Kluyveromyces lactis: one gene and its partners. The protein of the gene in region 1 purifies or fractionates together with the protein of each later gene. This does not show direct contact. Links are inferred from orthologs where the notes say so. Each region holds a gene or a part of one and is shown on either strand. Other genes may lie near its edges. The genes, in order: RIP1, QCR10 and QCR2.

Region 1 (2,148 bases):
CCGTTCAAGGTAACCCGCACAACGTCCGGATCACATGATCAGTTGCCCACTGCCCATACCTGTTTCAACGAACTCTGCTTGTACGAATATGAGTCACGTGATACTCTTCTTCTGCGATTGGTGACTGCCCTCGAAATGTATGAGGGTTATGGGTTTAAATAATGTCAGCAACAAACATACATTAATATAATCACTACAAACGAACCAATCATATCGTGAACCAGGCTTTACAGAAAAACCTGCTTCCCTTGAATAACCAGAAAACACAAGGAAATGGACACTTACAGCTACTATGTGAAAGCCGTTAAATGCGAAGCGTTTTACTGACACTAGGCCCAAAGGCCCTAGTGTCAGTTATCATTTCCACCAAGAAAATCTTCCTATACTTGACCATTTACGCAAATAAAATTGTATACTTGTAAATTGGAAAATAATAACCACACCAGGAAGTTCTGCCTCGTCCCAGCTCATTTACACTGTCCATTCCTGTCTGGTCGAATTATATCTTGTTTAATCCTTTAGCGCTTCTTACTATTGGCTTTTTTCCCAATCTGAAATTTTTCTTTGTTTTTTTTTTTTTTGCTTCCTTCCGCACTTATTAAGCTGCAATGGCTTCTGTTTAATATGGATAGAGATAATTTGATAATTTCTCTGAATAAAATAAAATAGAAAAAGATTTAGTACAATCATTTTATTATTACTTTCAGTTCCAACAACATTTTTGCATTGATATATATATTTTATAATCTGGCTTGGTGATTCATATCTGTGTATATATTTATTGATACTCCGAGAGTGCTTTGCTGTTGTGATTAAAGTCGATATCATAGAAACGATTTCTCCGAAATAAGAACGGGAAATTAGTACGAATAATACACTCTAGCGATATATCCATAACTAACTAATATCAAAAATGTTGGGTTTAAGAAACGGTTTGAAGACTGGTTTGAAGTCTGTTGCTCCAGCCAGATTAATTTCTACTTCTGCAGTTGCTGCCAAGTCTACTTACAGAACTCCAGATTTCGGAGACTATATCAAGGAGAATAACGATGCTGACAAAGGTCGTTCTTATGCTTACTTTATGGTTGGTTCTTTAGGTTTGTTGTCCTCTGCCGGTGCCAAATCCACCGTTGAAACTTTCATCGCTTCTATGTCTGCATCTGCAGATGTTTTGGCTATGGCTAAGGTCGAAGTCAACTTGGCTGCTATTCCAGAAGGTAAAAATGTCGTTGTGAAATGGCAAGGTAAGCCAGTTTTCATCAGACACAGAACCGACCATGAGATTCAAGAAGCTAACAGTGTTGATATGTCAGCTTTGAAGGATCCTCAAACTGATTCTGACAGAGTTCAAAAGCCAGAATGGTTAGTCATGTTGGGTATCTGTACTCATTTGGGTTGTGTTCCTATCGGTGAATCTGGTGATTTCGGTGGTTGGTTCTGTCCATGTCACGGTTCCCATTACGATATCTCCGGTAGAATCAGAAAGGGTCCAGCTCCATTGAACTTGGAAATCCCTCAATATGAATTCGATGGTGAAAACTTGATTGTCGGTTAAGCGCAGAAGGAAAGCTAAAAAAAGATTATATTATGTTGATAAATTGTTGAAATAGGCTACCTTTTTTTGCTATTTCTCAAATTTAACTCTCTTCCTTTTTCTCTTTCTCTTTGTCCTTCTCACTCCAGCTTTCACTAATAAAATTCTTTATTCCCATGTTGATGTCTCCTACTCCCCCCATGTATTTTCCAAGTAGGATTCACAACCAAGGTCAATATCTTTTATGCTAAAGTTTGTCATATTGGAATCGTGTAAGCTCGTTTTTTCACGTTCCATCATCACTACCCGATTTATTATTATTTATTCATACAAACATTTTTGAAACCACAACTACCCGTGCCCCCATAGCTCAAGCAAACTAAAAGGATAGCAAGCATGAAATGCTTTTGAAGCATTGTTCAATTGTATGTCATCACTTTTCCTTTTAACTGCACTGAGAAACAATCGCATTAATACCTGAATGACCACATCAGGCTACTACCGTGATTGAAACCCTTTTATTATATTCCAAAATCTTTGAAATAGTCCTGCTCTACCCGATGCATGGTTATACCTACAATCTGAATCGCTTAATGTTGTATCGCCTTCTTTTC
Region 2 (2,164 bases), about 790 kb from region 1:
CAAATCAGTGAAATTCCCAAAACCAATTCTCCATGGATTATGTACCCTTGGTGTGAGTGCCAAGGAACTATTTGAAAAGTATGGTCCATTCGATGAATTAAAGGCAAGATTCACTAATGTTGTTTTCCCTGGAGACAGATTAAAGGTAAAAGCATGGAAGAAGAACGATGTTGTCATTTTCCAAACTACTGATTTGAATACTGGTAAGATCGTATTGGACAATTCTGCCATTAAATTGATCGGTAAATCAAAGTTATAATTCTGGCTTTGTGTGTCAGAGAGCGTAAGCTGTAATGATTATGTCCCAACGTATATTAGTTTGTAGCAAATAATGAATAACGACCAATTCCAATCCGTTTTCTTTTGACATAAAACAATTTATATCTCTTTACTTATATACGTTTAGTAAAAGGATGGGTCCTATTTATATGAATAATGTGTAATTGAAGTGCTTTTTCGAAAGTAACGTTCTTTCGAGGGTTTATTTCATAAAATAAATAATAATAATGGTGCTCAGAAGAATATTTTAATTCCTTACTTCTAGGCTTTGGGATTGAGAATATGCTTCCTCTCGTTAAGCATATCTAGAGAGAAAGCAACCTGCAATGACGAAAGTTCAAAAAAATATCATACGTATAACGCATAATCAATTATTGAGGACTGTCTTCTGGAGCAACAACCTTAACCCAGTGGTCACCGAAGTATGGGATCTTTCTGTAGAAGGCATCTTGGAAAGTTGGCCAGCCATCGGTGAACACGAATAAACCGAAAGTAGAAGCACCACCCCAAAGAGCCAAGTTTGGAGCGTAACTCTTCAAGTTTTCAAAAGTGATTCTACCGAAGTGAGCAGCAGTCTTTGCTGATAGTTTAGAAACGTACTGATGAAGATAATTGTTTAGGGAAATATCCCTTGACACATGAAATGTTAGTAAAAAAACAGTCTTCAAAGGGCTTATATTTGCCCAAGATACATCAGGTATATGAAAGATCCTTCCTAAAGGTACTCATAACCTTACCTTTAAGGTCTGGAGATATCGGTATACCTAAAAAAATCTGGATAATTCAGTTATGAGTTTTGATCTACTCCATCTCTAAAGTCTCTTTCAAAACATTAACCACATTCCAGACACATGTCTACACATACAGCAACCATTTTGGAATAAGTATACTGGTGTTTTTCAGCTCTAAAATAGATATCTGCAACGTTGACCAAAAGCACATCCCATAGTAAAGGTATAATGCTCCAGTTAATTGAATTGAAGCTTTTTTATCTTTTTTATCATATAGTGTTGATGTCATTGTGAACGACGTGGACAGTGAGATGATTGGTTGTAGGTCACGTGCAAATAGGAAATTTGGGTACCATGATTACATATCTGTATCGGTTAACTAGTAGAACAAGGATAAGGACAGACACACTTGGCAATCAGGGACTGTTAATTATCCAATTATTTGAGTTCTGTTGTCATAGGCTGTGTCCTGTCCATATTCTTATTTTCTGGTAATAAATATGAGTAGTGTTTCTTCACTTGTGATAAGGTATCTGGCCTCTGCAGTCCATTCACATCAAAGAACTTACTGACGCAACTCCAACGATGCCACGTGAAATCTTTTGAGGCTTGGCAATTGCATCTCAATATTTCTTTCAACGGGTTATCTCTTGGACAATCTTGATTTGGATTGTGTGCGTACCCTGTATCGGGTACAAAATGGATTTGGTCAACGTCTAGTAACAAACTAAATGCAAGCGTATGAACCGGAGCATCGCCCCAACGTTCGTAGAAAAACCCACCAAGTGAGTCCAAATATTGGAAATAAGATTCGTACCCATAACTCGGGTCTTTGAATATCTTTAAATGGGCAATCTCAAAGTTAGTCCAAAAATGACATCCGTTATACGTGGCTCCGTCATCGTCCGAGATGAATTTGAAGTTGTTTCGTTTGCTGACAAGTTCAGGGTGCATTTCGAAAAAATACTTATACGTATGTTCCCATAACGTCGGGATCGTCTTTTGGTCTTCACCCATGGCCATGGCAAACCCGTATAATTTGTCGTTTTGTCTCATATGCTGGAATACATCATAGTTTATATCACATCCGAATTTCACGTAAGGTTCCACACGCCAATAGTATTCAACATTTGCTAGTTCTGGTAACTTGTAAA
Region 3 (2,895 bases), on another chromosome or scaffold:
CTTTTTAGAACGTCAATTGTAGTAATTATCCAAATGTATCATTTATTATTTTTTATTCTGTCTGTAATCTATGATATTCTTTCCACTTGCTAGTTCTCAATAATATGTTAACTGATATTTGTTCAGAGATATATACTTCAATAAATAAGTGATAAGTTTCTAAGATGATATGTGAAAATAAAAATAGGTTCGGCAAGAAGACACACTACGTATTAAACCAACGTTCTTGCAATATCACCACAACCTCTGTTTGATTGTTTTTCTTAAGAGCAGTGATGGGGATTGTATGAATCAACAGAACTGTTGAATTTGATCAGTGGCTTCTGCACATTTCAAAAGATTAAGATATTGACGGGTTCTCTTTTAACATCACCAGTTTTTCCAAAGGTTAAAGGTGTTCTTTTGAATCTTAGAGAGTTTTGTTTTTGAATTTTATTGGTTTCTTTTAGGTTGCAATGTTTCCAAAAGCCACGAAAGGTAAAAGATAATAAAAAATATGTACAATAGAAATGTAATATCGTTTCTAAACATTTCAGTGATGTGATTCTGTCATCTCTCATGAATATGTGTGTTTGTTTGTTGTTTTTTTTTCAGTTTTAAAGTACTATGTGTGTAACTTTGGCTAGTAGGAGAAAGGTTAAAATCTGTGAGTTATTTTTAACTGTGATGAAATTTACAATTCATCAGCGAAAGGTAGCTTAGCGACGTTACCTACAGCGGCGTAAGAGAATTTGTCCAACTTGACATTCTTGACATTAGAGACATCGATTGGAGCGTTTTCCAAAGATAATTGCAAGGCAGTGTATTCCTTAGCAGCTGAAATGTCGACATCCTTCTTCAAGGTATCAACGACCTTCTTTATGTTTTCAGCAACGACAGAAGCATCCTCACCCTTGACGTATAAAGAGAACAAGCCGGCATTAGCGTACTTGTCTAACTTAGCTGAGTCAATTAATGGAGACAATTCGGACAAAGCAGAGGTTAGGTACTTAGCCAAGACTTCGTAGGTAGCGAACTGTTCCTTAGTAACTGGAACAGCGATAGCGGCAACGGAGGCACCTGGAGCACTTAATCTGGCTTCACCGGAGAAGAACTTTGGTTGAGCTTGAGCAGCCAACTTGGAGCCAGTTGGTAAAGAACCAATCAAAGAGTCGTTGACAAATCTCTTCAAGTCAGCTTCGTTGACACCTTGACCAACAATTTCAATGTTTTCCTTGGTGTAGACCTTGTTGGCATAAGCCTTGATATCATCCAAGGTGACCTTCTCGACACCTCTGTATAGAACTGTGTTACCTAAGTCCTTTCTGAAAGAGACATTGTAAAGTAAGTCTTCGGCCTTGTTGATTGGGTTAGTTTCAGAAACGGAAATGTCGTACTTAGCAGCTGGCAAGACAGATTCTGGTAATTCGTGGGGTCTGAAACTGGTCTTGTACAAAACGTTACCCAAAGCGTTAACGAAGTATGGAAGATCTTCCTTCAAGAAAGTAGCCTTCAAAGTGATGTATTCTCTGTCAACACTGGATTCGAACTTACCACCCAACAATTCACTTTCTCTAACCAATCTCAAAGCAGACTTGTTACCGGTGTTATGGAAGTTGAATCTGGACAAAAGGTGGGCAATACCTTCTTTGTCGGCGTAACGAGAACCACCGTGAACCTTAACAGCCAAAGTGGATAGTTTACCGGAACCGTCTTTAGCGGAAATACTGAATTTTCTAGCAGTTTGCTGGGCAAATTGTAATCTACTGGACAACATCTTTATATTATATGTTTATGGGCTTTTTAATTTTGGGAGTCAGAATATCAATCAATATCAATATCAATTATGCGTTAATCAAAAGGTCTTCCTCTACTTTTCCTTTAATGTCCAAACTCAAATAATATTTACTCACACACAAAATAAGTATCGAAACAGAGCAAAAAAAGTACACTGACAGAGTAACGAGTAAAACAAAGTAATCAAAATAGTATATCAATCACAAATCTTTACAAAACCTGTAATCAAAACCAATCTTCAAACAAAAAGCTCTAAACTTTGAAGTAGAATTGTCATATTTTGTTATAAATTTTTCAAGAACCTATTGAATAAAGCTATATGCGATAAAATCCAATAACTAACAAAAAAAAAAAAAATTGAAAAAAAAAAGATATTTCGAGATGTGAAGACTGATCTCTACAGAGGAATCAGAGAAGAAGCGAGCTGATTCTGTAGAAAGGAGAAGCGTGCTTAGACCATCTTGGAGTCACAGTAAGAAGGGGATATCGGGTTTTAGCGGAACGTACTGGGAGTGAGAGGGAACAGACAGGAATCGCGTAATGCACTGTGAAAGGGTATTGGTAAACCATTTGAAGAAAAAATGGTTGGACACGGTTCTTAGAAATGATTGGTTCGTGAGTGATGAGATGTCACGTGACACAGAAACACAAAAGTCACGTGGTTGTGACCACGTGACTTACAATAATGTTGCCTGTTTCTTTCGATCTTCTTGAAAGACCCATCCATTCGTATTGAAAGAAAAAAAAAATCTATCAATTGAATTGATCTCATCTCATCTCATCGCATACATGCATGACTACTGCAACAAGGTGGCTCGACTGTAGAAAAGGTAGGAAAATAAACAATTGTTATTGCAAGCACTGACATGAGTGCTGCCCAAGCTGCCCTGATCCCCGATGCGGCTGTTCCAAATGGTGGTGCAAGTGTTGTATCAGCCGCAGAACCATCCACATCCACATCACCAGAACCAATCGATATCTCTTCATTAGAGCAGAGAACTCTTAACCCAGATTCGTTTTTATACTCTGAACTTGCCAGATCCCATCTTGGTGAAAGAGCCAGTACTGTTCTATCCGTGTTGGTCAACAAAGGAAGACTCTCCACGAGAGAAATTCATT

What was found.
Region 2: the proteins of RIP1 (region 1) and QCR10 purify together in Saccharomyces cerevisiae (affinity purification with mass spectrometry; 3 studies listed by BioGRID, with this or other methods). This does not show direct contact. The link is inferred for Kluyveromyces lactis from reciprocal best matches to the Saccharomyces cerevisiae genes RIP1 and QCR10.
Region 3: the proteins of RIP1 (region 1) and QCR2 purify together in Saccharomyces cerevisiae (affinity purification with western blotting; 4 studies listed by BioGRID, with this or other methods). This does not show direct contact. The link is inferred for Kluyveromyces lactis from reciprocal best matches to the Saccharomyces cerevisiae genes RIP1 and QCR2.

Annotation. Positions count from the first base shown.
Region 1 is NC_006041.1:2,013,259-2,015,406, forward strand, and holds RIP1 (ubiquinol--cytochrome-c reductase catalytic subunit RIP1), read left to right. Parts: upstream 1-913; coding exon 914-1,555; downstream 1,556-2,148. Other genes in the region: putative E3 ubiquitin-protein ligase HUL4, read left to right, coding at 1-162. UniProt on the Saccharomyces cerevisiae protein: Component of the ubiquinol-cytochrome c oxidoreductase, a multisubunit transmembrane complex that is part of the mitochondrial electron transport chain which drives oxidative phosphorylation.
Region 2 is NC_006041.1:1,221,841-1,224,004, forward strand, and holds QCR10 (ubiquinol--cytochrome-c reductase subunit 10), read right to left. Parts: upstream 1,154-2,164; coding exon 1,145-1,153; intron 879-1,144; coding exon 651-878; downstream 1-650. Other genes in the region: bifunctional hydroxyacyl-CoA dehydrogenase/enoyl-CoA hydratase FOX2, read left to right, coding at 1-259; KLLA0_E13861g (glycosyltransferase family 15 protein), read right to left, coding at 1,449-2,164.
Region 3 is NC_006038.1:323,397-326,291, reverse strand, and holds QCR2 (ubiquinol--cytochrome-c reductase subunit 2), read right to left. Parts: upstream 1,757-2,895; coding exon 674-1,756; downstream 1-673. Other genes in the region: RPC82 (DNA-directed RNA polymerase III subunit C82), read left to right, coding at 2,643-2,895. UniProt on the Saccharomyces cerevisiae protein: Component of the ubiquinol-cytochrome c oxidoreductase, a multisubunit transmembrane complex that is part of the mitochondrial electron transport chain which drives oxidative phosphorylation.